2 linked regions of the Xenopus tropicalis genome follow. The main gene of each other region encodes a partner of the protein of the gene in region 2 in a complex. Links are inferred from orthologs where the notes say so. Each region holds a gene or a part of one and is shown on either strand. Other genes may lie near its edges.

Evidence for each region.
Region 1: the proteins of lman1 (region 2) and mcfd2 are in contact, whole or in part, in a cryo-EM structure (PDB 8JP5), measured with the Homo sapiens proteins. The link is inferred for Xenopus tropicalis from reciprocal best matches to the Homo sapiens genes LMAN1 and MCFD2. Residues at the interface, in NP_005561.1 of Homo sapiens: His43, Arg44, Arg45, Phe46, Tyr48, Lys49, Ser51, Phe52, Lys53, Pro55, His56, Gln59, Ser60, Asp61, Val64, Pro65, Phe66, Trp67, Lys96, Phe265, Glu273, Lys279, Glu280, Ile281, Glu285, Lys286, Tyr289, Glu292, Phe293, Phe296; in NP_001164977.1 of Homo sapiens: Val59, Ile60, Asn61, Lys62, Gln70, Glu71, Leu74, His75, Phe77, Lys78, Tyr82, Asp83, Asn86, Asp89, Gly90, Leu91, Glu92, Thr95, Thr98, His99, Val100, Leu111, Glu114, Leu117, Ile118, Ile121, Asp122, Leu125, Asp129, Lys130.

Annotation. Positions count from the first base shown.
Region 1 is NC_030681.2:20,173,363-20,190,073, forward strand, and holds the start of mcfd2 (multiple coagulation factor deficiency protein 2 precursor), read right to left. Parts: upstream 9,916-16,711; 5' UTR 9,842-9,915; intron 9,586-9,841; exon of another isoform or gene 9,571-9,585; coding exon of another isoform or gene 9,557-9,570; intron 4,620-9,556; coding exon of another isoform or gene 4,607-4,619; coding exon 4,449-4,606; intron 3,321-4,448; coding exon 3,164-3,320; intron 1,723-3,163; coding exon 1,591-1,722; 3' UTR 1-1,590. UniProt on the Homo sapiens protein: The MCFD2-LMAN1 complex forms a specific cargo receptor for the ER-to-Golgi transport of selected proteins. Plays a role in the secretion of coagulation factors.
Region 2 is NC_030677.2:201,344,192-201,359,415, forward strand, and holds the end of lman1 (protein ERGIC-53 precursor), read left to right. Parts: intron 1-502; coding exon 503-714; intron 715-1,655; coding exon 1,656-1,726; intron 1,727-5,526; coding exon 5,527-5,674; intron 5,675-6,593; coding exon 6,594-6,712; intron 6,713-7,224; coding exon 7,225-7,261; 3' UTR 7,262-10,182; downstream 10,183-15,224. UniProt on the Homo sapiens protein: Mannose-specific lectin. May recognize sugar residues of glycoproteins, glycolipids, or glycosylphosphatidyl inositol anchors and may be involved in the sorting or recycling of proteins, lipids, or both.

The sequences.
Region 1 (16,711 bases), on a different chromosome or scaffold from region 2:
GAAAATTTATATTGAATAAAATTCCCTCTGACCATAAGGATAAAATAAAATCCAAAAGGGGTTTAGTGACACATTGAAGGTACAGGTATGGGATCCGTTATCCGGAAACCCATTATCCAGAAAGTTCCAAATTACAGGAAGGCCATCACCCATAGACTCCATTATAAGCATATAATTCTAATTTTTAAAAATGATTTCCTTTTTCTCTGTAATAATAAAACTGTAGCTTGAACTTGATCCCAACTAAGATATAATTACCCCCTATTGGGGGCAGAACAGTCCTATTGGGTTTATTTAATGGTTAAATGATTCCCTTTTCTCTGTAATAATAAAACAGTACCTGTACTTGATCCCAACTAAGATATAATTACCCCCTATTGGGGGCAAAACAGCCCTATTGGGTTTATTTAATGGTTAAATGATTCCCTTTTCTCTGTAATAATAAAACAGTACCTGTACTTGATCCCAACTAAGATATAATTACCCCTTATTGGGGGCAGAACAGCCCTATTGGGTTTATTTAAAGGTTAAATGATTCCCTTTTCTCTGTAATAATAAAACAGTACCTGTACTTGATCCCAACTAAGATATAATTAATCCTTATTGGGGGCAGAACAGCCCTATTGGGTTTATTTAATGGTTAAATGATTCCCTTTTCTCTGTAATAATAAAACAGTACCTGTACTTGATCCCAACTAAGATATAATTACCCCTTATTGGGGCAGAACAGCCCTATTGGGTTTATTTAATGGTTAAATGATTCCCTTTTCTCTGTAATAATAAAACAGTACCTGTACTTGATACCAACTAATACAATTAATCCTTATTGGAAGCAAAACAATCCTACTGGGTTTATTTAATGTTTAAATTTTTTAGTAGACATAATAAAACTCCAGGTCCCAAGCATTCTGGATAATGGGTCCCATACCTGTACTTGCAGGTTGCATTTATGCAGGTCAAAATTATATTTTGAAGGGGGTGAAAATGATATATATATATATATATATATATATATATATATATACACAGGTATATATATTATATAAATGATATCCCTGAACAAAGCTGAAAATTCCTTACAATTGTTACAGTGCAGTAGAACTAATGGAACAAATATGAACTTGTATATCATAAAAGTGAAATATTCATTATAATGTTACTTGTGTATAGTCAGTGCCTTTTTTTTAATCAGCTCCTAAAGCTATTACACTAATAATGGCTATGAATTGAGCATTTAAAATAAATATATATAGTTCCTTTTAGGTATTGTATTTTGGATTTGAAGTTTATGCCTATAGCCCCAATGGAAGGGAAAAATGTTTAAAAAATAATGAGGTGCCAAGCAGGCCCTATAGGAGCCAGGTGGGAGGGGTTGGGGGGACTTGCATGGCATTATACATAAATATCACAAAATATAACACAAAAATAAACATTTACCTTGTCACTTGGCATTCAGCAAACAAACATACATTAAACATATACAGTAGATGCTGAATGCCGACACATCTAAATGACTGAAGCCCATATGGACAGCAGTGGTACGGACAAACTCACATTTGATACAAAAACAAAAAGCGAAATTCACAGTTTCTATTCCAGTGATCTGGCAAACTCAGCATAGTCAATATAGCCATCATTATTTTTATCATCATCCCTTAAAACGTCGTCGATTAAACTGATTAGATCTTCCTCCTTCATCGCCTGAGTTGGTTCTTCGGTAGACTGAAAAACACAGTGTATTATTAGTGATGTTATATTAAGGGCTGGGCTTTGGGGCAATGTATTCACATAACTGTTATGGATTTCAGTGTTAAAGCCGACAATGAAGCACTCATCAAAGTATTACAGGAAGCTGAAATGTAGTTTTAGACTTGAGGGATAAACCCTCTAGCATCCAAGTATCCAAAAGAGAAACAGAAATGTGTAACCGAAACATTTAGGAGAACCTACAGGTACCCAGGAAGGATATTAGTGAGAAACCTACAAGCAGGAAAAAGGGTTTAAGGAGCTCAGATTCATTAGATATCTAAGCCCAGAATTACCTACGGTAGAGTAATGTGACACAGTCACCAGATAAACACCCAAGCTTTAAATCTCCTGGTACACTCAACAAATAGACAGAGAGGCACTTAATTGTACTGAATAAATAAACCAAGTAGTGCCTATTAAAACCAAAAATACAAGCCAAAAGACACCTGCCTGACCAACATCTTATTTCCAAACCAAAGATATTAATATGAAGCTGTTCCTCACTTTGCTGCAATAACAGCCTCTACTCTTCTGTGAAGGCTTCCATTAGATGTTGGAACATTTTTGGTAGGGTTTGCTTCCACCAATCAGGTCTTGCTCACAGCTGGCAATCCAGTTCCTTTAAACTGGGGTTCAGTTGGGCTGAGGTCAGCCATCTCAGCAAACCCATTCTGTACCACCTTGCTTTGTGACAGAATGGAATTGTCACCAGTGCCATTGTATGTTGTAGCCTTAAAGGGTATATTCACCATTTGTAAATCTCTGGCTGATATCTCAGTGGATATGAGCTTCCTGTTTGATCAGTGCTGGTGTTCTTTGCTACTGAGAATACTCAGACCACATCCCCTCACTTAGAAGGGCTTATCTTATTGGCTGCTAGGCAGTGACATAAGGTTCATGAATGGACAGAAGGGAAGAATGCCAGTGCTGCCTTTCTTGGAAAGTCAACCATTAAACTCCAAACTCCCTATGTCCCAAATAGTTCTTGTACTGACTTTGCTTCTAGGCACAGTTTGCCCATAGAGTGTATATCAGATTTCTTTTTATTGGCACTAATAAGAGAAGAAAAGGTTTGGCTTTTCATGCTATGGAACATGCATAAGTGGAAGAGGATCGCTCGCTCACAGGTAACCCAGACCGGAGCGGTTTTCTGCTAACAGGTGCACCATCAGGTAAGTGGTTACAATCAATGGGGAGTACCTAACTTTTTGGCACCCCCAGTATCATACCTTTCCTTCTCCTTTAAAGCAATGACCACAAAAACACAAATGAATATATATTGTATAATTCAGTAACACAGATGGCATCTTTGGTTTTTAGATTTAAATTTTAAAGAACAGAAAAGTAATCTTTCCTAATGGCTCAGCCAGAATATCTAATGTATAATGCCATTAGAGCGTTACGGCATACTCACCTTATGTACATGGGAAATTGCAGTTGCCAACTCCAGCCCATCCAGTAGGTTATTGCCATCATAGTCGTGCATCTTGAAGTAATGAAGCTGCAGCTCTTGGGGTGACATTTCTGCCTCTGGTTTCTCAATGACTCCATCTAAATGGTCCATGATGTGGCTGCAGAGTGCAGAAGAGTACAGAGAATCAAATGAAGCAGTCTCAAAAGCAGCTAAACAAACACTGCCAAGAAATAGGGTTGTCTTCAAAAATTGTGGCACACCATCTACCCACCCGATCATGCCCCCTCTGCACTCTAACCTGCACCAAACCTCTACAAAACTGCTCCACTTTTTGCAGCAGCCAAGGCCCCAGGCTGTTGAGGGCCCCATCCACTAGAACAGTGCTGTCCAACTTCTGTGGTATTGAGGGCCGGAATTTTTCTGGCCTACATGGTGGAGGGTTGATAATTGAACCAGTTTTGACCACTCCCCTTTTTTTAAAAACTGCACCCACTTCAAACCACACCCATGTTATCACAATAGCATTTAAGACCTCCCATTAATGGTGGTAGGACACCAGTTGGAAAGCCCTGCACTAGAAGGACATAAAGAAGCCAATAAAGGGAACCACCCCGAAAGCCATGGGATTTGGAAAATAATAGTTATCTGTTTTCCCTATTAACTATAATAGGGTGAATGCAGCAGTGCTAATACTTTAACCCTACTGTGAGCTGGGACAATCTCTCTTCATATTACTACATGTATGTATGTATATCTTTATTTATAAAGCACTACTTATGTACGCAGCGCTGTACAGTAGAATAGATTAATACAAACAGGGGGTTAATAAAATAATAATAGATAAATAAAAAGTATAACAATAAATACAAGGTACATTCGCAATAAGTTAAGAATCAAAGAGACAAGAGGATGGAGGTCCCTGCCCCATAGAGCTTACAATCTAAATATAATAAAACATAATATATTATAAATATAATACCCCATTCGCTATCTTTAGGATAAGAACCCACGGAGTGACTTACTTGCCCGCGACAGATCTCTGCTATCGTGGGCGAGTAATCAATCCAAAAAGGCTTTCCACCGGCAACAACAGAAGTCACCGTTGGAAAGCCCTTTGCATTGCATTGGATTACTGAAGCGATCACTACTAGCAAACTAGTTGTAGTTCAGCTACAAGTATGTCAGTGCTATAATACAATATGTAAGCAGCCCGTGGGCATTCTGTTTGCAGGGGAAGATATATGATCCATGAACCTTCCTAAATGTTTAGTAGAGCGATACTTACTCTTTGTCTTGCACTACGCTCTTTCCAAAGCGAGCCCCATGGTTCCCCTCTTCTACATGGGGGTGTACATGGTCCTCAGCTACTGCTGACATGAATAACAAGGCAGACACAACCAGGCAGCATAGAAGAGATGACGTACTGGCTCTCTGGGCAGCCATGGTGCTCAGGCTTCTGTAATAAAGACAAGTACAACAACAATCAGCACAGTTACTACAAAGACCTCAGTAGGCAATGCCCACCCTTCACCACTGTTGCTGACTCACTCTGTCACCTTCAATAATCTTAAAACAATGTTTAATAATGTAAAGGAATTGTTTTTTTATCATCATTAAAAATGTGCACAAGAAGATCCTACAAACCACACTCACAGTACCCTGAAATCGAACCCAAGAATGTTTATGATCACTTTATATATTCGTGTTGACTTAAATGAATGGGAGCGGCCATTGATGCTCAGATGAGCAAATCTCCTAAAGCTGCTAATAAAAAAGGCCCTACAGAAAAATGGTGTAAAGAGAAATTGCGCAGGTCTCGTTTTTGGATAAGCTGGGCTTATGATTGGATGACATTCCAGTTGCTGAATGTTCATAACTATCGTAACCAGGTCCAGACGGGCAATCTGTGGGTTCTGGCAAATGCCAGAGGGGCTGCTGTACGATGCCATAGACAGTCACTATTTATTGGGCTGGGGGGGCTATTTGGGCCTCTGTGTACTTGAAATGCCAGGACCTATTTTGAATGCCAGTCCAGGCCTGATAGTAACCAGAGCTGCCATCCTCAGAACACATACAACAATATAGAAGGGCATAATATGTACTACTTATGCTTGAGTTTACCCATGGGTTGGGCAGGTTCAGTTTGACCAATTGCCCCAAGAAGCATGGGCAGGTGGTAGAATGTATTCACTGCCAGTCCCACCTTGACCCCCCACCCCAGCACAACTACTGACGTTGAGATGCTTACTGATACTCATGCTTGGCACGCCCCCTTTGTAATGTCAGAATAAAGGTATCAGTAGTGTAAAACTGCTAATATATTAAAATGGGAAAAAGTGTAAATTGTAAAATCATCTGTAAGAACCACAAATCACATGGTAACATTTACTGGGGTACTGTTTAAAAGCTGATGTTATTGGTTTCTATGGGCACTGCACATGGGAATACGTTTATCACATATAGATGTTAGTCTTCTTTTTTTTTTTTACTTGTTTAGGCAACACTCATACTAATTGAGTGATGCATAAAAGGTTAAATGCGGTCTGCTTGCTAGGGCTTAATTACCAGAGCTGGGGCATCGGAGGTACCATAAACAGAGGAATCGGAGTCAAAGGATTTATGTATGGACTCCGTAGCCCTGCCAAGGCTGTTGGGTAGGATTTATGAGTTGGAAGCAATTTTGGGTACCTGGAGTTGGAAACGGAGGTGCCATAATCTAAGGAGCTCAAGTCAGAGAGTCGGAATTCCGACTCCACAGCCCTGTTAATTACTCTAACAACCAGGCAGTAGCATGGAAGTCAGAAATGAATATGGAAAGGAGAGAAAGATTATGAAAATAAGAAAAACAACAAAAATAAAGTTGAACAGTTATTTATTTACTTATTGCTGCTGGGTCAGTGACCTAGATAGAATCTGCAGTATGGAAAGAGGGAGAATAGGAGGGCTGATAAGTAAAAAAAACAAGAAAGAAGTCTAGCTGACATACTAAACTTAAGAGGAAACTTCCCCTTTAAATATCAGATATAGAAATTGTTACTAGAACAGAGAGTTATAATTAGAACTGTATCTGTGGATTCACTGACTGTGAGTGTGTCACTCAGTACAAACACCAAACGCGCTGCCCAATCATCCCTTTCTGTTCGCTCACTCTGATAGTTGCTATAGCAGTTGCTAAGTCATTGCTCCTCCAGATATACTAGTCAGTTGCCTTCTGCTACATTTTTTCATGAGCGAGAACTAATAGTGCAGAAAATATAAACAGACACAGGTCGCTTTCAATAGCAATGGAAACTTGTTCCAGCTGATAGTCATTGAACTACAAGTCCCAGAAACTCTCCTTAGAGTTACAGTTCAAGTAGACGTGCAGGGGCAGAGGGCAGATGTAATCAGCCAATTTATTATTATTACTACAGTCATCTTACAATGCCAGTCTGTGCTGCAATCACCTGGGGGTAACTAGACAAGTCATATGGCAGGTTACACAAGCTGTGTAAAACATAGCTTAACCTTAGAGTCAAACAATAAACATTTGCATTGGGGAAGCGCCAGCGCCAGCTACAGAATAAGCTGCTAAATTTGTTTTAGCTAATGATTCCCAACTCATTAGCAGACATAATGTGTTATCCAGCAAGGGGAAGATCTGGTTGTAACTACCTGCCGTTGGGGTATACCCTCCCCGATTTCTACATTCAATTCACAGTTATAGTAAAAAATACTAACAGCAGTGTATACTTTGTAACCTTACAATACAATAGCCAGTTATGGATTTAGAAAGCAATAATTGTACTACTGTGTGCGTAATTACAGACTGCAGGGGGTTCTTTGTGCACATTATTGCTCTGTAAATCCCAAGTATTCTACCAGTGTTCCCAGTGTTTCATGTTACAATGCAGTTTTTGGGTGTGAATACCATGATGGCATTGCTACGTACATAAATACAAAAACGCAGATATAAAATCTCAGTGCAGAGAGCAACCTAGGCCAATGTGTCAAAATGTAATTCTTCAACAAACTTTTTGTTTAAAGCAGGGGAGCCCATTTCTGCCAATTAGAACTGCTTTCAGCTAACCTATTGTTTCTCCTACTCCCATGTAACTGGAGGAGTCCCAAGCCGGACTTGGATTTCTTACTATTGAGTGCTATTCTGATACCTACTGGGAGCTGCTATCTTGCTCCCTTCCCATTGTTCTGCTGATCGGCTACTGGAGAAGCTTTATTAACTGAGGGGTTTTGAAAAAAAAACATGTTTTCCCATGACAGTATTCCTTTAAAACAGGGATCCCCAACCTTTCTTACTCGTGAGCCACAGTCAAATGTAAAAAGACTTGGGGAGCAACACAAGCACCATAAAAGTTCATGGAGGAGCCAAATAAGGGCTGTGATTGGCTATTAGGCAGCCTCTATGCACACTATCAGCTTACAGGGGCTTTATTTGGTAGGAAATCTTGTTTTTATTCAACCAAAACTTGCCCCCAAGTCAGGAATTTAAAAATAACTCCCTGGTTTGGGGGCACTGAGAGCAACACCCAAGGGGTTGGTGAGCAACATGGTGCCCCCGAGCCACTGGTTGGGGTTCACTGCTTTAAAACAATGTATGAGAAGCCAGCTTGATTAACAGACCTGGAGAAGAATCCAGTTACATTGCCTCAGGAGTCGGAACCGGAGCTCAGAAAGGAATATACAGAGATTACTTTACGTTGCAAAGTGCTGCTTAGAATAATATTTTCTTTCATTGGGTAAAAGTTTTTGGGTGGAGATCCCTGGTAAGTATTGAATATTGCTATTGTTACATGAACGACACCCATTCTTGAAGTCATCTGTTAAGTTGTTTGTTTGAGCTAACAAGTTACCCTACAGTGCTGGGCCAGACTAGAATTTGGCACTAAAGTGCAGAGACACAGAGTGCAGATATAGGAGTATATAGCTCCTCAGTGTGCATGCACAGGCAAAGTAAAGGAGGAACAAAATGGAGTCAAATTTGTTATTGCCACACACGCCGACGTACTGTGCCTCGAGGAGAGGCGTAACCCCACAAACACACATGAGCCAGGCTAATTACAGTATAAGGATAACAACTATCACCAAAGAGAAAATATATGTTTATACATGTAGCCAAAATAGTGCTAAATATCAAACTCATAGCCGGGCAGCATACGACTCATGAAACAGTCACGATGCATTGGTCATAGCACAAAACTGACCGTAGCGGTAAGTCCCAGCGTTTAGGGCAATTTTGTCGCTGGAAGTTTTAGGTCTCTGGAGTCAACAGATTGTATATTTATAATGAAATACATGAAGGGTTTCAGGGGTGGAAGCTCATTTGTTATTGGCCACTGGGAGCTCCACCCCCCAGGCACACTACAGAGCAGGAGAGAGACTGTGCATGGACACAACTTCATGTCTCTGGGGAGATTTGAAAGCATAAAAAGAAAACACTGAGAGATTATAGTAATTTACTCTTCACCCCCCAAGGATTATAGTAATTTACTCTCCCCCCCCCCCCCCAAGGATTATAGGGATTTATTCTTCCCCCCCCCCCCCCAAGGATTAGAGTGATTTACTCTCCCCCCCCCAAGGATTATAGTAATTTACTCTCCCACCCCCCAAGGATTATAGTAATTTACTCTCCCCCCCCCCAAGGATTATAGTGATTTACTCCACCCCCCCCCAAGGATTATAGTGATTTACTCCACCCCCCCCCAAGGATTATAGTGATTTACTCCACCCCCCCCCCAAGGATTATAGTGATTTACTCCACCCCCCCCCAAGGATTATAGTGATTTACTCCACCCCCCCCCCCCCCCAAGGATTATAGTGATTTACTCCACCCCCCCCCCCAAGGATTATAGTGATTTACTCTCCCCCCAAGGATTATAGTGATTTACTCTCCCCCCCCCAAGGATTATAGTGATTTACTCTCCCCCCCCCCAAGGATTATAGTGATTTACTCTCCCCCCCCCCAAGGATTATAGTGATTTACTCTCCCCCCCCCCAAGGATTATAGTGATTTACTCTTCACCCCCCAAGGATTATAGTGATTTACTCTTCACCCCCCAAGGATTATAGTGATTTACTCTTCACCCCCCAAGGATTATAGTGATTTACTCTTCACCCCCCAAGGATTATAGTGATTTACTCTTCACCCCCCAAGGATTATAGTGATGTACTCTTCACCCCCCAAGGATTATAGTCCTTTACTCTTCACCCCCGAAGGATTATAGTCATTTACTCTTCACCCCCCAAGGATTATAGTCATTTACTCCTCCCCCCAAGGATTATAGTCATTTACTCTTCACCCCCCAAGGATTATAGTCATTTACTCCCCCCCCCCCCCCCAAGGATTATAGTCATTTACTCTTCACCCCCCCCCAACTCATTGACAGTTCTACATACCGGTTGTTGCACATAGGAACAGAGTTCCCAGCATTCCCCAAAAGACTCTGGAGCAGCACAAGGGACAAAGGTTTATAGTAACCCCAATAGAACACTGTAATACATCTCCCAGAATCCCCTATCAAGCTGTTTGGGAATTGTAGTTTGCCAGGACACGCTGCAAAGGCTTATGGGAGAAGGAAGTCCCTAAGTGCAGAAAGAATCGATTACAAATGCTGGTGGGTCTGACTGAGCACAGACAGAGCCAGCAGTGTATACATAACGATATGCCCCACTCTCACTCACCGTCCCAGCCGCTCTCCTGCTCACTCAGCTCCTCCGAAGTATACAGCTCAGCCGGCTCCAATACAAGCCCCGCCCCTCTTAGCGTTCTTTCAAGCCGTGGCCCACTCTGCAGGCCGAACCAATGGAGAACAGAGTTGGAGTGAGCGATAAACGTTTACCTGGCAAAGAGTTGTCACTCGGCGCTCTATCGTTAATGCCTTCAGTGTATGCTTGAGTGTGTGCGCCTGCGCAGCCTGGAATCTAATGCTGAGTGGCACTGTACAATAATAGATATGTCAGTGTTTCCATCTTTCACGTTATTTCATCTTCAGGGTGTAAATAAGAAAGCCTCGCCATGGCTTAACAAGCACACTTACATACTGTAGATAAAGCCCTTTATTTTATGTATTTAGATGTCTTTTCTATTTATAGTCTGCACTAACAAACTGCAAATAGTAACAGACTGGCACATGTTAAGGGGCATAGGAGGGGGGGATATTTACTGTCTACATATATGTATCGTGTGGTGCTTGGCAGTTATAGAGTTAGTATATGTAGCAAATACTAGTAAAAATACTAGTATATATCAGCTGCAGTATATGCTACTAGTATAGTGTATAACTTTTGGCCACGCCCCCTTTTGTGGCCACGCCCCAATTACCACACCCCATTAAAAAAAATACTCCTTTTATACATCAAATGGCGGGAGCAGACAATAATGTGCTATACCCTCATACTGAACGACCTAAGGAAAACAATACAGCAACTCCTACATTAAAATACAAATATAGAGAGAAGGCAGTCAGTTATAAGTGAGTTATAACTAAGTACCAGTTTTGCCCCCCCCATACACAGTAGCCCCCAATACACAGTGCCCCAATACACAGTAGCCCCCCATACACAGTAGCCCCCCATACACAGTAGCCCCCCATACACAGTAGCCCCCATACACAGTGCCCCCTATACACAGTAGCCCCCAATACACAGTGCCCCTATACACAGTAGCCCCTAATACACAGTACCCCCCAATACATACACAGTGTCCCCCATACACAGTGCCCCCTATACACAGTATCCCCCCATACACAGTACCTCCCATAGGCGCTACGCCTTCGTCTGCGGCTTCGTTATGCCTCTCCTTGTGCAGCGCGACAGGCCCTTTTATAAGGTTGCGCCCCATGCGTAATGACGTCACACCCACAGGCGCAACCTTATAAAAGGGCCTGTCGCGCTGCACAAGGAGAGGCATAACGAAGCCGCAGAAGAAGCATGAACATCCGGCTCCAGCAAGAGCATCCCGCTGTGCCGGATAGTTCCATGTATGTCCCGCAATGCGGGACATTCATGGAACTATCCGGGACAGCGGGATGCGCCATAAAAAGCGGGACTGTCCCGTGAAAAGCGGGACAGTTGGGGGGTATGCAAGTGTTGGGACTAAAAATATATCCTTATGAACAGACTAAAATATATCCTTATGAACAGCGCTCAGTGATGTCGTAAGTAATAATCAGTGCTTAGGGAGGTTGTGTGACTGGGCCATTGTAACATAACTATTCTGTGTAACATATAAAGGAACAGTTCAGTGTAAAAATGAAACTGGCTAAATTGGACAGACTGCACAAAATGAAAAATGTTTGCAATATAGTTAGTTAGGCAAAAATGTAATCTATAAAGGTTGGAATGGGCATATGTCTAACATAATGGCCAGAACACTACTTCCTCCTTTACAGCTCTCTAACCTCTTGTTAGTCAGTGACTTTAGGGGGGGCCACATGGGACATAACTGTTCAGTTAGTTTGTGAGCGTGCAGGTCAGATTCAAATGCAAACTAACTGAGCAGTTATGTCCCGTGTGCCCCCCCTAAAATCACTGATTGGCTACTGACTGCTAACAGCTTAGAGAGCTGTAAAGGAGGCAGTAGAGTTCTGGCTATTATGTTAGACATATGCCCACTCCAGCCTTTATAGATTACATTTTTGCTTAATTAACTATATTGAAATTTTTTTAATTTTGTCCATTTAAAATTTTACACTTTAATGGGTATATTAGACATCACCTCTGAGTTCCAGAGAATGCTAAAAAACTAAGAGCAGTGACTACTGTGGCAGGAACCACACCAGGGTTTGGGGGTGTCCCTGTTCAGTATGATGTCACCATTGTCCATTCAGAGGCTGCCGCTGCTTTCCACCGTCGGTATGTGCAGTAATATAAACATCTCTCAAAAATCAAATAAAGGCTTCTCCTTACCCATATTTTTTTCTGCATAACGAAAGAAAAAGTCATTCTAAGCAACTTACTTCTATCCGATCCTTAGGCATTTTCAGTGGTTGTAAATGTAATTGCTACTGGAATCAGAATCTATCTGTCCCTTTCTTTTCTCTGGGCCTGACTGTAACGGGAGTCAGTTCACCCCCACGTCTGTTAATTAGCTGATTTCTTGCTACATTGTTTGAGGAGCGATGAGTGTAGAGAATGCAATTCAATAACAATAACTTTACAAACACCTTTGTTACTAACATACCTGGAGGTGAATGGACTCCAGTATACTGTTTCTAGAGTTAGAACTAAAGGCCTGCAGCAGGGGGGGTACCCACGGGTTACCCACAAGAAAAGCATGGTTGGATTTTCAGTTTCGGGTATAGATGTGGGTCATGGATCTTTTCCATATTTATGTTTTAAACCTCCTATATTATCTATATTCTACTTCTACATTTTTTTAAAACTTTCTGTTTGATGGTGGTCAGTGGGTTGTGGAATGGGTTGGCAGTTGCGGCTCAGGGGTCAAAGTGGGCAAAAATGTGCATTGTGGGTCCGGGTTGTGGGTCTGGATTATGTCTTTATGACTTTAGTTAGAACCAGAATAAAGAAAGGAATAAACTGGCACTACTTTCAATAGCTATCACGTTTACAAATAACTTTAAAAAACACTGAACCTTTGTACTGAATATATATTGGAAAGTTGCTTAGAATTATATTTACTTTCATTGGACATCATTTCTTTTTTTGGGGTGTAGTTTCCCTTTTAGTTTGTTACTTAAAATAAACACACGGACTTCAAGTGCTGGTTATTGGAACACAGAATGATCCATCTGTAACAGGACGTACTGAGAAGGCAAAATGTCTGATATCCGTCTGCTCAGTTTATAGAGCGCAGCCTTTTGATGTCTTTGTATAGTAGGAATACAGATGGCGTCCTACCAACAAGGGTTCTTGAGTTGACCCAAGACACAGTCCAGAAACATTTAGACAAATGAATATGAACAAACGAACTGAGCCTTGGCATTTGCCCAACAATCCTGCAGCTTTGATCTGTCTCAGCCAGACCTTTGTCTTTAATCTTCACGTACTCACTCTTAATGGAAGTCTCTATAGCAGGGCAGCTCCTAAAGGTTTTCTCGTAGTCCATACAGAATCGACTTCTCCTACTGGAAACATTTAAAGGTTATAGATGAATTAGTTTTATGTTTACATTTACACCTGATTGAAAGCTACCATATTACAGAGGTCATCCGATAAGCCTCCATAGAATGATACATTCCCCTTAAAAAAAAAAAGATTACAGTTTAGTGAAAGGGTTATAGTTGTTGAAATAGAAAGTGTTGATATTTGCCTAAATAATCACATTTTTTTACCCTAAATCTGATTACTGGTACTCATGTGAAAAAACTAGAAGTCCTGTCTTGCTTTATGGCAGGGATCGCCAACCTTTTTTTTTACTTGTGATCCACATGCAGGGAGCCACATAAGCATAAAAAGAGTTATTTGGTAATGCCAAATAAGGGCTGTGATTGGCTATTTGGTTGTCCAATGAGGACTGCTAGCCTGTAGGAGGCTCTGCTTGGGGTAAAACTGTGTCTCTGGGATTCCAAAAATTGCCTCCAAGCCAAAGATTTAAAAATGGCACCTACTTTGAGGCCACTGGGAGCAACATCAAAAGGGTTGGTGAGCAACATGTTGCCCCCGAGCCACTGGTTGGGGATCACTGCTTTATGGCAAGGATTCTAAATACACATTGATGATCAATGTCTACAAATAAATCAAACTATGTTGTACTAGGAACTAAGTTTGTGTGGTACTTGCCCCATAACATGCTTAAATTCAAGACCCCATTACACATTGACTATGTCCCTTGATTTGCCCCCATTGGGGGTATAAATAAGGGTGTCAGCTGAAAAACTCAAGTACTGAATGTATAACAGTGGAAGATGATTCTATAATGTGACAGGAAATGCTATTTATGCTTGAGTATTGGCCTTTGTGTTAATAATTGTGTGATGGCAGAATCGCTGGAAATCTATGAAGAATTCCTTTGCAAAGCAATCAGTATTGCAGCTCCTCTTCATACATATATGTAAATATATTCCCCTGATCTGTGTTTATAAATAGTGGTTTAAGGTGTTTTTCAGGGCCCCCAGCTGCATTGGGTCATGATGCATGGGTGCTGGTAGGATAGTCAGTGTGGGCAGAGGGGGAGGGGTGCATGTACTAACTGGTCCAGGCCCCCTCTCCTTCGGACCCCACTGTGAACTGAAGGTCTGTTGCATAGAACATAGGACAGGAGGGATAAGCCCTTGTCCACTGCCTTGTTCCAGTCCGAGAAAATCATTGTACCTATAATAGGAATTTCCATTTCTTTTATTTTATAATTCATCTGCCCATATATCTACAGATATCTAAGGAAACCACCACCAAATAAGAGCAGGACTGATGAGTGTGTTTGTGTGACCCGTAGAACACAATGTTGTAAACCCGGAGCGGCTAATTATTAATTCACCGTGACCCTTTAAAACTGAGAGATACAAAACAAACACAACCTTTGTTATCGGATGACATTAAAACTGTTCTGTAAAGAAAAACATGGAATTTGGCTGAAGTAATTCATGTGTGATTCCATAGTATAGGAAAATTGATTTGAAGGGAAACTCCAGCTTCCAAATCAAAATTTGTTAAAGAGCAACACAGAAACCCCTAATATTCCTATCACTGTAATCTGCTTCTTCAAAAAGTATGAATAAATACCATTTTATATGCTGAAATCCAGCTGCAAAACAGTTCATCTCTTTCTGTATAGTTTAAAATCCTGGCAGGGGAGGAGGGACTAAAACATCGTTATAAATTTCTACGCAGAATGCTGTCATTATATTGGCATAGACAATCTTAATCTGGTAATACATGGGTAGTTGATTCAGCAGTCTGGCAATGTTGCCAGATAACCAAATGGGGGGCCTGTGCAAACCCTTCTGGAAAAATGCATCAATGTAGCCATCACTTGATATTTCATCCGGCCCGATCACTATCTAGGTATGTAGATTGATATTTTCAAATATGACTTTTTCCCTTTGAAATTGCTCAAAAAATGTCTCAAGTGGATTTAAAATGTCTGGAAAACCAAGATTCATGAAAATAACATAATGATAGCATTATTAGCAATATTGATTGTCGGCATGACTACTCTAGTGATCCTGCTTAACCCGCTTGTGATTTTCTCAAGTAGGTTTAAACTCTGATTTATTGTAGCTCCAACTGCCCAACAGAAGGATACCCATTGGTCGCACCAAACATCGTCAGATCCGCCACACACCGTTCAGGGCTGAAACAGCAGATAAGGAGGTAGAAACAATAGGATTTCTACCTCCTTCTGCTGATTCAGCCGACGGCAGATTTTGGTCAGGCGCCTTCTATGGTGCCCAATCAAAATTTTCTAACCTGGCCGATCGGCGAGTCGACCGATTTCAGCAGCTTCCTGTGATACCGGTCGACTCACCGACATGCCATACACGCACCGAATATCGCACGAAACGAGGTTTCGTACGATATTATCGGTGCGTGTATGGCCAGCTTTAGAATGCTCAGACTGCCAACCCAATTAGTGGTGTTTGCTCCACTCGAATATGATTAGGATTGTATAACATGCACAATTGTGCCCTGTATTCTATATCCTAAATGTACATTAGCAGTGTTGGACCGACCCACTGGGGCACCAGAAAAAATCCTGCTGGCAATGGCATAACTATAGAGGAGGGGGGAGCCCGGGGCACAGGGTGGCCTGGACCATTGGTTCTGCTTCCTCTATAGGTCTAAGAAGTCCCCTCTTACTAGGAGTAGCTGGGAGAGGGTGCCATGGGCGTGTGGGTGGAAGGAGGGCCAGGTAGGTGAGCGCCAGGCCCTAGAGGCAAGGGGTGGTCTGTGGCAGCAGCAAGGAGAGGAGGGGTGGTCAGTAATAGGGAGCGGTGGTCTGTGGCAGCGATAGCAGGGGGAGTAGGGGTGGTTGGTGCCAGTGGGACCCTAGAGGTTAAATCATCTGGTGAGCCCTTGGGTCTCTGGTCCAGTATTGTTCATTTTAAGTGTTCTTTCTGTTCTTTTAGTCATTCATCATAATATGTATCTGGTCTTGAAGGGTCATGCTGAAACCATAAAGGGTAATTTACCCTATGGTACGCACCCGCATGAGGGTCATTTACTGTAGACTACACGGGCGCTATGTCCACCGCCGCTTTCTAATTTGCGTTTCATGATAGGAATGATGGACACCTACATGCCTTCCCCCCCACCCACTTACTGCCAAGCACAGGTTGGGATGGTCACAGATGACTGAGCACCAGAAGGGATTGCAGAAAACCACAGCAATTCATTTAACCTAGAAGGAAGGGAGCAAAATGCAAAAAAATAGGATTGGACTGGAATTCATGAATTTATGAAAAAAGCAAATGTACTGCCATTCTGCCTTTTATCCAGTTGCACAAAACATATTGCAGATATCTGAGTCAAGTATCCAGGTTTGCAAACACTCAGTTCTCCGCTAAACACTTGACTTGCATGGAGACGAGGCCCAGCCAGAATATTATTCAAGCAATGGCCAAGGCTTTATTAAGCATGATGTGTCCTTTTCAG
Region 2 (15,224 bases):
TTAACAAAAGCTGACATTTCTTAAGAAATAGAGTCATATTCCATTGTTGGAAGGAACCCTAATATTAATGGTAATTACCCTGGAAGTTAGGTCAGCGCTATGAATGCGGAGTTATAAACGAATAAAATAAATACTGTATATATTTGAGTATAAAGTTCTGTTACAAACTGTCCGTAAGCAATTCATTTCTGTAGTAAAGATGTTGTGCAGCCAACTGGTGTATACGGGATTAGCTAATGGGCTGATGATCATCGGCATACTAAGGGGCATATTTATTGTAGTGTGTAAGCCAATATCCACCGGTGATGTTGCCCATAGCAGCCAATCAAATCTTTGCTAACTTGTTCAAATCTAATTGCTGATTGGTTGCTATGGGCAACATTACCGGTGGATGTTGGCTTACACACTAAATATGCCCCTTAGTACACCAGTAACCGTAGGGGTACCAGGCAGTTGGCACACAGATGGCTGTACATTATAAAGTAATGGTTTCTCTGTGCAGTGGATGACATGTATGAGTCTGTAAACGACCGCGAGCTCCGACAAATCTTCGAGGGTCAGAACCGCATTCATCTAGAAATAAAGCAGCTCAACAGGCAGTTGGACATGATCCTCGACGAGCAGAGAAGATATGTGACAGCGGTCACCGATGAGATTGCCAAGAGAGGTGCCGGAGATGGAGCCGGAACAGGCGGCCCTGGTCATCAGCAACAGGTTGGGCAAGAGTTAAATGTCTCCAGTCATAGGGCAAGCTGGGTGGCCAGACTGTCATAAATGATCTGTTTATTTTACTGGGCGTCTTTAAGGTATTATCAAATAGGCCACCTAAACAATACCTTACTCAAGGGTAATCCTATTAATTGGCCTGGGGTTGTGATTCCTTAACAAAATGATCGCAACAGCAGAGGCAGTGAAGTTGCATGTATCCAATGAGCAAGCTTACTGCGCCCTCTGGATCTTGTGGCCTATAAGTCCCAGTATCCTTAGTGCAGGGGCAGGCAATTGGGCGCCTGTAACCTGTAAAAGTCAGTATTATAGATTCTGCTACAGTTCGTCCACAACCACCACTACATTTTCTTTACTCAACATATATTCCACTCATAGAGATTTGTTAACGTAGATGTTAAACTGGACCAGTGCAGTTCCACATAGAAACCAATCAGAAATTCATTTTGAGGAGTCTGTTACCAACTAGCTAGTTAAATCAAGGATCTGATTTGCTGCTGGGGACACTAATGCTACTTATCACCTATAGCTTGCCGAACACAGTAAGATCTGCCCATTTGGCAAGGTTATGGTCTGATTTGGCCTCCTACATTCTGGGGCAAATGGGCTAATCTGATATTTGCCCCTGGGCAAATGATTCGTTTTTCACAGAGGCCTATGCAGGCTTGTGGGGAGAGGACAGTATCAGTGTGCCAATAAGATTTTCAAGCCTGGCTTGTCTGAGAGGAAGTCGGGGAGGGCCCATAGAAGCTGCTAGCTTATTCTGAAGGGCCACATTTGCATCTTAATGCACATCAGCCACACAGTGTAGTTTTTCATATTCTGTCCTTTTTTTTTTAACTAAATGTGAAAAAATGGCTGCCTGATTACTGTTGCTCAGTCCCAGCGGTACTTGCACTAACTGCCACCTTTTGTCTTCCCCACTGAAGTTTGCACCTGCGGACCTGCAGTTCCTGCTCAGCACTCAGAGGGAAGTCTTACAGCAGATGGCGGATATGAGGTAACCAGAATACAGCAGTTTATATTTCTCTTATTCTCTGGGTAAACAATACAGTTTCTATATATGCATTGCTATTGGTCCGATGTCAGCCGAGGTAAAGGAATTTTGTGCTGCGGTTGTGTTGTTCTCTAGGGTAGTAGAATAAATCAGGGAGATGTAAGTCAATCTGCAATATGTGTTGCGGGGAAACAATTTGCAGTCAGCTGATGCCGTAAAGCTGGGAATTGAAAATGAACACCATAGGGAGTGATAGTGATAGGGAGCGCTCATTGTTTGGTATAAAGTGAGTCTACAGGGGGCATATGGCTCATCCATTCACAGTCACTGCAGCCCCAAGCTATTCCCACTGCACTTAATTACCCGGACGTTGCAGTTGCAGCGGTTGTGAGGGAATGGGGCGGGCTAGCCGGTGTGTCCATGCAACATCACTACTGATGTCGCAGAAAGGTTGCGATTAAAAAACCTGTGCGACTTGTTGTCCATCTCACTACCTAATGCATGGGCCGATGTCCAGGGAACTACGATTTTTATTAGTAACAGGGAAGCGCGGTGTGGAAAATGTTCACAGCAGTGATCATAAGCAACTGTCCTAGCCATCACACTCCATGTGGCTTCTCCCATAGGGCCACCTTGGTCTGAATTTTCATACTTTAGACTTTCATGGGGGTAATTTAAAAGGAACAAAAATATAAAAATGTATGTAGTATTTACACACAGACACTCGGGTGCTTAGCCCAGCCCATTTAATTAACCCTAACCATGCAAATCTGCCCCTTGGGATGTGGGTTCATGTGACCCCCTTATCCAGACATGCAGAAATCTTGTGCATGGGGGAAATCAGCAGAGTAGATCAGCGTAGGCATGCGGCCTGACCAATTAGATTAGCCGAAATTGGGCTCATGGTTATTCAAGGTCTTGAATGTAGACAAGTTCAAAGTTTAACCACTGTGTTACATCTACATATTATATAGTATCAGACGTGAGCAACCTGGTAACAGCCAAATATTGGGGAGGGTGCCCAGTAGGGATGCAACAAATCCAGGATTCGGTTTGGGATTCAGCCAAGATTCTGCCTTTTTCAGCAGGATTCAGATTCAGCCAAATCCATGCTGCTGGCCGAACTGAATCCCAAATCTTAAAATCAAGTGACTTTTGTCACATAAACATGGAAGTTGAAAATTTTTCGCTGCACAGCTCTCTTTAACCCTTCTGTATCCTAATTGTAAGCTCTTTTGGGCAGGGCCCTCTTTACCTCTTGTATCGGTTATTGATTGCTTTATATGTTACTCTATATGTCCAATGTATGAAACCCACTTATTGTACAGCGCTGCGGGATATGTTGGCGCTTTATAAATAAATGTTAATAATAATAATAGATTCATATAGAGTGTAAGCTCTTTTGGGCAGGGCTCTCTTCACCTCTTGTATCGGTTATTGATTGCTTTATATGTTACTCTATATGTCCAATGTATGAAACCCACTTATTGTACAGCGCTGCGGGATATGTTGGCGCTTTATAAATAAATGTTAATAATAATAATAATAATATATATATATATATTAGGATTTGGTTCCGTATTCAGCTGAATCCAAACATAATGCATTTGATGCATCCCTAGTGCCCAGGCCAGTTATACATTGTCTCATTACTGCACTCAATTTGTTGCCCTTAATTTGCTTTGCAGAATACTGAATATAAGCCAAATATTATACAGAAAGGTACATAATATACATTATATGCAATAGATGTACAGTTTGGGCACTCGCAGCTTCTGTATTGTGCCGTGGCCTATATAGGTCAGCTGTCTCCGAAAGATTATCTTTACTTTTGTTTCCCAGGGAATCCTTGGCATTAATATTCTTCACAAATCTTTATTCCTAAGGAAGCCAAATTAGATTTACCAGTTCAAGTCTCTCTTATTTAATATTGGTGATGCGCTTACACGACTCCCCTAATATGTTTCGGGCGGATTAAAGAAGTATTTGGGAGTGGCGCTTAGCAGGAAATTCCTAATGAGTCTTTGGGTTGCTCATATTTACATGTCCATCATCTTATTTTGCCCAGAAACAGCAGTCGTTTTCCTATTTTTTTTTTTTTTTTTTTTTTTTGCAGATTTATGGATTTTTGTCTTAATCTGATTACAGACTGGCCGGTCAGATATGTCAGTTAAGATTTAATAATCATTGATTATGTCTTCTATGCTTTGCTTAAAGATTTGGGATTTGGGAGAAATAGTAAAGTCTGTTGCCAATTTAAGTGCGGCTCTAGCTTTATTATCATTCCATTGTTCTTTTTGTTTTTTGTGAGATCAGAAGGGATTGCCTATACCTTAATACTGGGGAGGAAAATATCATCTGAAGGGCACTGAAACAACCGAGCAGCTTAGGGCAAGCAAAGGCATTCTTTTAGGGGGCTGCATTGGGGTGCTCTCCAAACAGGCAGTTATGGGGTGTTGGTTATGGACTTGTGTCTCTGCTTCCCCTGTCTAAAATCTGAGTGTCCAAAGCACTTGGAACAATGCACTCTTATGTTCTGTTAGGGTTGGGGGAACCCTAACCCTTGGTTTTTCTATGGCCTGTTCAGTTCTCTCCGGGACTGAAGTCCTAACAAACAAAGCCTCTAGGACCGCCAACCCCCCAGAGGTCAGTTATATAAATGGGACACCCCTATGTTTTGTTCTGGTTCATCAATGCGCGCTGTAAGTTTGCTGAAGTTTCTCTAGGTCCCCTGTCAGGATGCACCAGATCTGGTTTAGGATTTGGCCAAAGCTCAGATTTGACCCGACCCTTAGGGTTCACATTCAGTTTGACGGAACACGTATGGGCGTATTTATCAAATCTCCAAATAAACTTGCATTTAAAGGAGAAGGAAAGGTACAGGTACCTTCCCATTGCTCAATGTCTTTGGTGCTTCGGACACTTGCCTGCGCCGCCGATTTCCCAATGCTGCTGAAGTGTCAAGTACAAAAACTCCAGGGTTTATTTTTCATAGTGTCTTTTGCCAGAAGTAGAAAAGGGATTAAAATCCACATGATGATAAAGATTCTCGTTACAGACCTTAATCTTCTTTGCAAAGGGAAAATAAACCCCACTCGCAGGGACGACCACAGGACGAATGTTCCCAGCATATTGATTAAGGAGCACAGTTGATCCCTTATATGAGCACTTTACAGATCTCTGCAAAAGGCCCATGGCCTAAGGGTTTTAATTTGATTTTTTTTTATTGTAATGACAACAGCGAGGGCGCGTGTCCCGGCCGTACATATGGGAGATGAGTTTCTGTTATGTTCTATGTAATCTTGAACCTTAGCCCTAAATCTTTCCTTATCCTTAAGCCTCTTCATGTCTTGCAAAACTGTATTAATTTCTTTTGGAAAAAGCTCAGAATATCTGAACATGCCATTCATTCTGATGGAGAGGGCAAAATATGTCTGCAGGGAAGTGAATACAGGGCAGTCAGGGAGTTTGGGGCCAAATGGCTATATTGTTAGCAGTAGGAGCTCAGTGCTTGCTGGCTGAACCAGTGGTAGTAAAGGGCAAGTTTGCCAGTATTGTTGATAATGAATAATATAGATTGGAAGCTCTTTTGGGCTGGGCTCTCTTCACCTCTTGTATCGGTTATTGATTGCTTTATATGTTACTCTGTATTTCCAATGTATGTAACCCACTTATTGTACAGCGCTGCGGGATATGTTGGCACTTTATAAATAAATGTTAATAATAATAATATTTTAGGTTTTGTTGCCTTAGACTGTTCCTGATGGTCGGTATAATCCATTTATTATTTTGTTGCCATTTAGGAGCTCTATAAGCGAGACTGTGCGGCACGTTAGCGGAAATAAGCACCTAGGCACGGGGGGTTATGAGTCGACGCAGCACTTCAACGATATCAAGGAGCATCTCCACGTCGTAAAGAGGGACATTGAGCATCTGGTGCAGAAGAGCTTGGTAACGTTCGACACTCCGTCTGTCATTTCTAGTAGTATCTGTGTAGCCACGGGGGCAGCCATACAAGCTGGGAAAAAGGAGGAAAGGAACAGGTTACATAGCAGGTAGCACATTAACTCTGTAAAACACCATTATATTCTACAGAGTTTATCTGTTCGCTATTACGTAGGCATTTTGCCCTATGTCAGCTCGAATGGCTGCCCCCGTGGCTACACAGCAGCTTTGGTTATGTAAACTATAGTAGGATTTCTGAAGCAAACACATGGAGGGGAACAGCATATTATATTATAATTACTTTAATACATTAAAGTATTCAGTGGCCACACACTGTTCCAGATCGGCCCATGCTTCGCTATGTTGTCCCAGTCTGGATCAGATATCATAATCTGTGTCATGGCTGTGACATTTTTTTGTGAATATGTTGTAGCCATGACATTTTCAACAACTTTTTTTCCCACTAGATGTCTTGGGAATATGTCACTACATATTTTGGATTATGTCAGTACAGAGAATTTTTTTTTGCATATGTTCAGTGTCTTTTACAACTGAGAAGGCAGTGCAATTTGCTGTATTTTTGCATTTTGCACCCTGCCATCCTATTTACTTGAGTTGCCACAGGTCATTCTTGAGCACAAAGGCCTGCAACTGCCCCCATGAATACAGGGCTGCCTGTGGTTGGTAACATTGTATTCATGAAGGGAGGGAAGGAGGCACCATGTAGGTTGCCAGGCCCCCTAATTTGTGTTATTCAGATGTACAAGTTGACAATCAGCCACAACAGGCTCTTGTATATTATACCTGCCCTATGGTCTGTGCCATCACTGCTCTGATAAATCCAGTGCTAGGTGCAGAGCACAGCCAGGCCCTGGGCAGAAGTCCTCTCTGTACTAACGGGCACTTTTTGTTTTTTTTTCTCCAGCCACATGAGGTACAGAAGTGTCCAGAAGTGCCTCCATTTCCCTCCTGTTTAACCACAACCCACTTCTTTATATTTGTGGCTATACAGACAGTGTTATTCCTTGGCTACATTATGTACAGGTAAGTACATTTCACCTGAAAGCAAACCTCAAAAAACATATTTGAATTAAACTTTTAGTTAACTTTTCAATTGGTCTTCATTATTTGTTATCCTTTTTGAATTATTTGCCTCCTTCTTCCTTTGACTCTTCACAGCTTTCAAATGGAGATCATTGACCCCAGCAGCCAAAAAAGTATTACTCTTTGGGACTACAGTTTTATACATTTTCTGTTTAGATCCTCTCCTATAAATATATCCGTTTCTCATTCAAACCACTCCCTGGTTGCTAAGGTCATTTGGACCCTAGCAACCAGATAGCTGTTGAAACTCCAAACTCAAAAATGAACGACCCCTTCAGGGGTTCTGATGGGCAGGGCTAGGGGTCCCCTAGATGGCTGATACATGGTACCTGTAGGTGGATGAGGGGGCTTTCAGTGAATAGTGGGCTCTACGGCCAATGTATCCCCCCCCCCCAGGAACATGGCAGAGATATTTCCACTCGCTGACATTTCTATCCCTTTGTGTCTGGCAGGAGTCAGCAGGAAGCAGCCGCCAAGAAGTTCTTTTGATGACGCATTTGCGAGGTCTACGTCCGTCCGTCAGGATGCGCCAAGCGTACGTTTGTACACGAGGAACTTTTTTTTTTAGTAACGAGATGCTTCATTAGATTAAATTATTGAATTCTTGTGGAACAAAATGAACTTATTGTTTATTAGTCTCCGGCAATCGAAATTGGGCACAAAATGAAAACTTTTTTTTTTTTTTTAAACAAAACTTTTTAAACCCTTGTCCATTAAAGAGGCTCCATTTGTTTATTTTTATGAATTACCTGTGTAAAAATCTTCCTCAGGGCCACCAATTTATTTTTTTTTGTGGATTTTAAAGGGGAACTAAAGCTCTGAAACGCCTTTACTTCTATAGCTTAATTTATACCAGCTTCTATGCCACTTTGTATGAACAGCAACCCTATGCCAGCCACCCTCAGTATCAGCCAACAATATGTATAAACAATAATACCCTGCGGCCAAGGGCCTTGCCCCAGCTAAGTAACCAATAGGAGCAGTTATTTCAGGCAATTCAAGATCTGGGCATAGGGGTTTCTGTATAACCATAGGCCATTTTCCACTGACTAATGGGAAGCCCCATGAGTGGGCTTTTAGGGGAAGCTCACAGCTTCAGCCAATCAGAAGCCCCCCTTATGCTGTAATTCTACTCTACAAGCGTAATTTCCCTGTACTGATCTAGTTTAATTGAATAAAAAGTATTTTGCAGCTTAGAGAAGAAATGTTTTAGGGAAAAAATGTTATTTTTTATTATTAGTGCGGATAATTGGGGAAAGGATCAGAAATAAGCTTATGAGCATAGCTGTCCAACAGGGACGCAGGAGCAGCGACTTCCGGCTAAAGCGATACCGACACTTTAGGAAGGTGACACTGACGTCTTCCTGTAAAAAAAATAAATACTGTGGGAGGCGTCGCTGTCTGTTTAAATGTGGTGCAAATGTGAATCAGCCTCACCATCACAGTGGATCATTTTGTTGTGCAAAATAGGGATATTTGCCTCAAAGAGGTGATGCGAGAGAATGTTAGATGTAGGACAGACTGGCGCCACTTGGGCGACTGGCTGCCCCTTCCGGATGGTGACAATATTTGGAGGGCCCCCAGTTTCTCATCTGTGGCCCAAATAGAAACAAGACCACTACTGTCTTTATATATATATATATATATATATATATGATGTATGTATGATCGTTTCTACTCCTGAAATGCAATGTATCACCGTTTGTATGTGCATCGGCCTCCGCAGTCGTAATGTTGCCATAAACACCTTTGTGTTATATAAGCTGTGATCTTTTTTTAGTTTATCCTTAATATCTGATCATTCATATCTATGAGCCAAATTGTAACCTTGACTACGTTCCTGCTCAGCAGCCGCACTTTCCTTCCTGTCAATCATGTGACCTGCAGCAGTCTTTCCAACACTTGGATGTTGCTTTGTGGCAAAGAATCTCCCTCTCCATACCTTTGCTCAGAGTAGAAGGGACTGTACCAGAAACACTTCTTTAAGACCAAATAAAGTCACATCAGAGAGTGGAACAGGTAAAAGCTGCTTGATTTTATGAAATAGTTCAGCAAACAATATTATATTGATATCTCCGTCTGATGTTTAACTCCTTATGGTACTCAGTGTTGTTAAATTAGCCCTCATTATGTTTTGGGCCACTGAGCATGTGCAGTGCCACTGACACAAAGGAAGGCCACACAAGACTCAAGATGGGGAGCTCCAATGGACGGCTCTGAAGGCCTGGATCATTACAGTTTTAGGACTGTCTGCACCGTGGGCTGGTACAGTGAGGTCTGTTTATGGAATACAGTATTTCTAGCCAGAGTCATTATTAGGCTTTAGTTCTCCTTTAAGGAACACTGTTTTACCCGGATGTTCTGTTCTGTTACCAAAAGTGTTGTTATTGATGTTTGCTGCCTTAATTACACATTGTCCCATACCAGATGGTGCTTCTGTATTTTGTTTTCTGTAACGAGACCCCATTGGCTCATACAGTGCTTCGGTAAACACCATTTGGTCTAGAACCTTGTGGTTCCGTGACCTTATTACACGGGCCATTCTTTCCTCTCACGTTGCTACTTTTGTGCCACTTGTATAAACATTTACTGAGGATTTACCCGCTAACGGGGAAGCTCCTAATCTGATCTGCCCCGAATTAAAGGCAAAGCTCCTAATCTGATTTTGCCAGAATTAAAGGGAAAGTGTAATTAAATATTTGTATCTTTTTCTAAGTGCCTTATGAAGCTCCTCCTTATTTTACCCCTCGCGGCTTGAAGTCTAAAATGCTACTTGTACCAAAATGCCAATTCTCTGCTTGGTTTCTACAGCAGCCTGAGAGCTGCCCCTGTTCCCAACCGGAAGAACATACAGTTGTATCACTGGGCTCGGTTTCAATATGTGTGTCTTCTATTTGCCCTTCTACCACTGGGATGTGGGCAGGCCTTAACTGAATTAAGAAGAAAATGGGTGATGGTGACCTGACAGTCTAAAGCACAAACTCTGAGGGTACAGTGGCCTTTTACTGAGTCTCAGACTGCGCTGCCTCCCTACATATTGCAGCCAGCCAATCAAGGTGGGAGGAAGCTGTACTGGTACATAAGCACGGTCAGGCTGCAGGTGTTTTGTGACTTGCTGCCAGTATGGGTTGGGGGGTCTGGTACCCCTGGCCCCCACTGCAGCCATAGTTTACCCCCATTAGTTACACCACCCACATGTCAAACCAAAAAAATAATTTTTTGCCTAAAAAGAAAATATAATTCTAAGCAACTTTCCAGTATGAATATTTGTAAATGTAATTGCTATTGAAACTGTCTGTCTCCTCCGGCGAATCAAGTTTGTCTCCTCCGGCGAATCAAGTCTGTCTGTCTCCTCCGGCGAGTCAGGTCTGTCTGTCTCCTCCGGCGAGTCAGGTCTGTCTGTCTCCTCCGGCGAGTCAGGTCTGTCTGTCTGTCTCCTCCGGCGAGTCAGGTCTGTCTGTCTCCTCCGGCGAGTCAGGTCTGTCTGTCTGTCTCCTCCGGCGAGTCAGGTCTGTCTGTCTCCTCCGGCGAGTCAGGTCTGTCTGTCTCCTCCGGCGAGTCAGGTCTGTCTGTCTCCTCCGGCGAGTCAGGTCTGTCTGTCTCCTCCGGCGAGTCAGGTCTGTCTGTCTCCTCCGGCGAGTCAGGTCTGTCTGTCTCCTCCGGCGAGTCAGGTCCGCCTGTCTCCTCCGGCGAGTCAGGTCCGCCTGTCTCCTCCGGCGAGTCAGGTCCGCCTGTCTCCTCCGGCGAGTCAGGTCCGCCTGTCTCCTCCGGCGAGTCAGGTCCGCCTGTCTCCTCCGGCGAGTCAGGTCCGCCTGTCTCCTCCGGCGAGTCAGGTCCGCCTGTCTCCTCCGGCGAGTCAGGTCCGCCTGTCTCCTCCGGCGAGTCAGGTCCGCCTGTCTCCTCCGGCGAGTCAGGTCCGTCTTGTCTCCTCCGGCGAGTCAGGTCCGTCTTGTCTGTCTCCTCCGGCGAGTCAGGTCCGTCTTGTCTGTCTCCTCCGGCGAGTCAGGTCCGTCTTGTCTGTCTGTCTGTCGAGTCAGGTCTGTCTGTCTGTCTGTCGAGTCAGGTCTGTCTGTCTGTCTGTCGAGTCAGGTCTGTCTGTCTGTCTGTCGAGTCAGGTCTGTCTGTCTGTCGAGTCAGGTCTGTCTGTCTGTCTGTCTGTCGAGTCAGGTCTGTCTGTCTGTCTGTCTCTTCCAGCGAGGCAGGTCTGTCTGTCTGTCTCCTCCGGCGAGGGAGGTCTGTCTGTCTCTTCCAGCGAGGCAGGTCTGTCAGGCTGCTGCCTTGTGTTACATTATTTCATATGCCAGAGCCCCCAGGGCAGGGAATAGAAAGGACAGGCAGACACTGTGTTTAATAGCAATTATATATACAAATAAGTAAAAAAAAATATTGTAAAGTTGCTTAGAATTATGTTTTCTTTTATTAGGCAAAAAATTATATTTTTGGATTGACTTGTCCTTTTTAACATAGCATAGCTTTACTTACTAAATGTTTGTGCATCAGTTCTGCACCCTAAAGGTATAGACACATGGAGCTACTTAGTAGCAGCTTCTTGTCACGGCAACTAAGCGCCAGAAAATCCCTTGCCATAGACAATACTGAGAATTGCCTCTGGTAAACACACGTAGAGACAATTATCAGTAAATGATCAGCATTGTCTGTTTCTGTAGCCGTGACAAGTAGCTGCTACTAGTAGCTCTGTGTGTCTTTCCCCCAACCCTATGCTTCCATTTGCTCCTGTTTGTTTGCACCCTAATATACAGATATTGACATATGGCAACAACCCCTGTCAGTTAGTCATTCCCTTCATTTTGTCTGACTATCAGGTTCCTTTGCTGCCTCGTTACATTCATTTCCCACATCAAAATACTGGCAGTGGGACATGTTTGCACAGTTATTGCTGATACATTTTCTTGTTTATCTCCATCTCTGTATTTACTGTTTTACCGAAACGGCACGGTTCTGAGGAATGAATACTGTCATTTTTACATACAAATTACATAATTAAAATAATGCTGCTGAAAGCTTGGGGTTACGTCTCCTACAGAATGTCCTTTTGCGTTTGATTGTCAATAAAATCTGTTGTCCTTTGTCTCAGCTCTGAGTTACTCTCCCTTCTGTAATGGAAGGAAAGGGACGGCGCGTACACCCCTGTACAGATACATAGCACCCCCGGCTAATGTACACTCCGAGTTACTCTCTTACTATCCCTGATTCTATTGGAAGGAAAGGGACGGCGCTTACACCCATGTACAGATACATAGCACCCCCAGCTAATGTACACTCCGAGTTACTCTCTTACTATCCCTGATTCTAATCAGTATTGGAAGGAAAGGGACGGCGCTTACACCCCTGTACAGATACATAGCACCCCCAGCTAATGTACACTCCGAGTTACTCTCTTACTATCCCTGATTCTATTGGAAGGAAAGGGACAGCGCTTATACCCCTGTACAGATACATAGCACCCCCGGCTAATGTACACTCTGCGTTACTCTCTTACTATCCCTGATTCTATTGGAAGGAAAGGGACGGCGCTTATACCCCTGTACAGATACATAGCACCCCCGGCTAATGTACACTCTGTGTTACTCTCTTACTATCCCTGATTCTATTGGAAGGAAAGGGACGGCGCTTACACCCATGTACAGATACATAGCACCCCCGGCTAATGTACACTCTGCGTTACTCTCTTACTATCCCTGATTCTATTGGAAGGAAAGGGACGGCGCTTATACCCCTGTACAGATACATAGCACCCCCGGCTAATGTACACTCTGTGTTACTCTCTTACTATCCCTGATTCTATTGGAAGGAAAGGGACGGCGCTTACACCCATGCACAGATACATAGCACCCCCGGCTAATGTACACTCTGTGTTACTCTCTTACTATCCCAGATTCTATTGGAAGGAAAGGGACGGCGCTTACACCCCTGTACAGATACATAGCACCCCCAGCTAATGTACACACACTTTTCTAGAATATAGAAGAATCTAATGAGAAAAGAACTTCTATTGGCCGGTTTCGCTGTGCTGCCATGGAAATGTAGAATTTGGTGACCCATTGTGGTGCTTTTATTGTCTGTAAATACTTCCCATAGCAAGGCATGGCCACTGGCTCCAATGCTCTCTATAAGGGGTCAAATAACACTTGGTTGATCTTCTGCTGATATACCCACCTATGGGTGGGCGCTATCGGGCTAATTCAATTGTTTGCCCCTAGGGCATAGGCGCTGCCGGTTTGGGAGCGACATCAAACCTGCCTCATTGAGATCTGGTCGATTTTAGGTCCGATAATTTTAGGCCAGATATCAGTCGGGCAGGCCCCTCGTTTCTGCCCATACAGGGGCCGATAGTAGCTGCCGATATTGGTCACTTGGACCGATTCGGCAGCTTATCGGCCCGTGTAGGGGCAGAAACGAGGGGCCTGCCTGACTAATATCTGGCCTTAGTTTACATGTCCGTGATCTAAAATATAATAAATGAGGCTTCAAGCTACAACAGTAACTGATCTGTATAGTGTGGGCATCTCAAGATATACATCAATGTGAAGCTTATTGTACAGCAGTGGCTCAGGGCAACATGTTGCTCCCCAACCCCTTGGATGTTGCTCCTAGGGGCCTCAAAGCAGGGGCTTATTTTTGAATTCCTGGCTTGAAGGCAAGTTTCAGAGGCATAAAAACCAGGTGTACTGCCAAACCAGAGCCTTCTATAGGCTGCAGTCTACAAACCAAATAGCCAATCACATCCCATATTTGGTAAGCTTGTGTTTCTCTTCGACTTTTGTTACATTTAAATGTGGCCCATGGGTAAATAAGGTCGGGGACCTCTGTTCTATAGAGATCAGTTGAGGCTGTAGCTTGAAGTCTAATATAATAAGGCTGCATATGGAAAGTCTTTTTAAGCTGATCTGCTCTATGGGTTTATAGATCTTATGAACAACTTGGTTCATGTTTGACCTTGTGTAGGCAGTCATAGTTCTAGATCCACTGAAGGGTTGAATGGACAGTTGCCCTGATCAGTTGTATAACTGTGGCTATCCCAATCAAGTCTTTATATCATGGGGTACTTAAGGAAGGCTTTAAGTGTCCCAGCCACCCAGGGGCAGACTGGGCTGACGGCACTGGGGGAAAAAAACGCCAGCGGTTCTCACAAGCCCAGACCCGATCTCAACCAGCTCTCCTTAAGGCTACGGATCTCAACACACTGAAGGTAAGAATAAAGTAGGCACGCTTGGCGGTGGGGGTTAGGTGGGTGGCAGGGACCATTTGGGGGGGCCCTGTGGGCCCTGCATCACCCAGTCCAACCCTGCAGTCACCTCTCTCTAGTTACCTCTAAAGAAATGGCACTTTTGCCTTTGAGGAATGAGGATTCCTATCAAACTCCTGTCAAAGTTTTCCAAGAACTAAAAATTGTTCTTCAGAAGGAGGTCACAGCATCTGGTTTGGAGTGTAGTTTATTTTGTCTGCTCTTTAGGGTATTTCTAATTTGCACGTGAGATTCCTTGGGAGATTCCTGGGATCTAGAACAGGGATCTTCAACCATTTGTACTTGTGAGCTGGATTTCAGCATATAAAAATGGTATTTATTCCTACTTTTTGAAGGAACAGATTACAGAGATAGGTTTTTGAGTTGTGTGGGGCTCTTTAACATATTCTGGTTCCCCTCCATGAGAAATCTGTGAGTATGTTGAGATGTGAGCATCCCGAGGGCAGACTTATCAGTCAGTCGTCCCTATGTTACTGTATAACTGAGATGTCACGTGTTGGCCTTGGATCCTCGCTGCACCATTCCGTTGCCTGGGCCTCCGAGGAAAGTTCTTTTCTCTGACATGATCGCTGGTAATCTAGGATTACTGGATACCCTCAACCCCCTGGGAACAGAGAGTAATTTAATTAGAAGGCTGCTAATGCAAATGGTGGAATTAACCTCTTCTGACTAAAAATAGAGCAGTAATTTTCCCAGAAAGAGATCTGTGATTAACCTGATTGGAATGTGTTCCCAACATGGAGCGCTTTAGTCTCCGATACACAGAATGGTTCTGTGTGCAGTCAGTGAGTATAGCCATTTAAAGAAGGGGTCTATGGCAAATATCTCTGTATTCGGAAATGTTATCATGCCGTCGTCTTGATTCGACCCCCTTTGTAGTATCCTGGAGATTATCTGTGACTCAAATGTCAAATATCAATTACTCAAAATACCATAACTTCCTGGTTTTATCCAGGGCTTGAGTAATTCCCCCCATATAAAGCATTAAAGCCAAGGGCCAGCTGGTGGTTTAGTGCTGTCATATGTATTTCGTATACCTTTCTGTAGCTGTTATATTGGAATAGGAAAATGAGACCTGGAAATGATATGATCATTGCAATAGGGCTCCCCGTGGCTGGCAATGATATCTGCTGTAAAGTAGTCTCCAGTCTGTTGCTTTCTAGGGGACTTTCGTAAACAGACGTT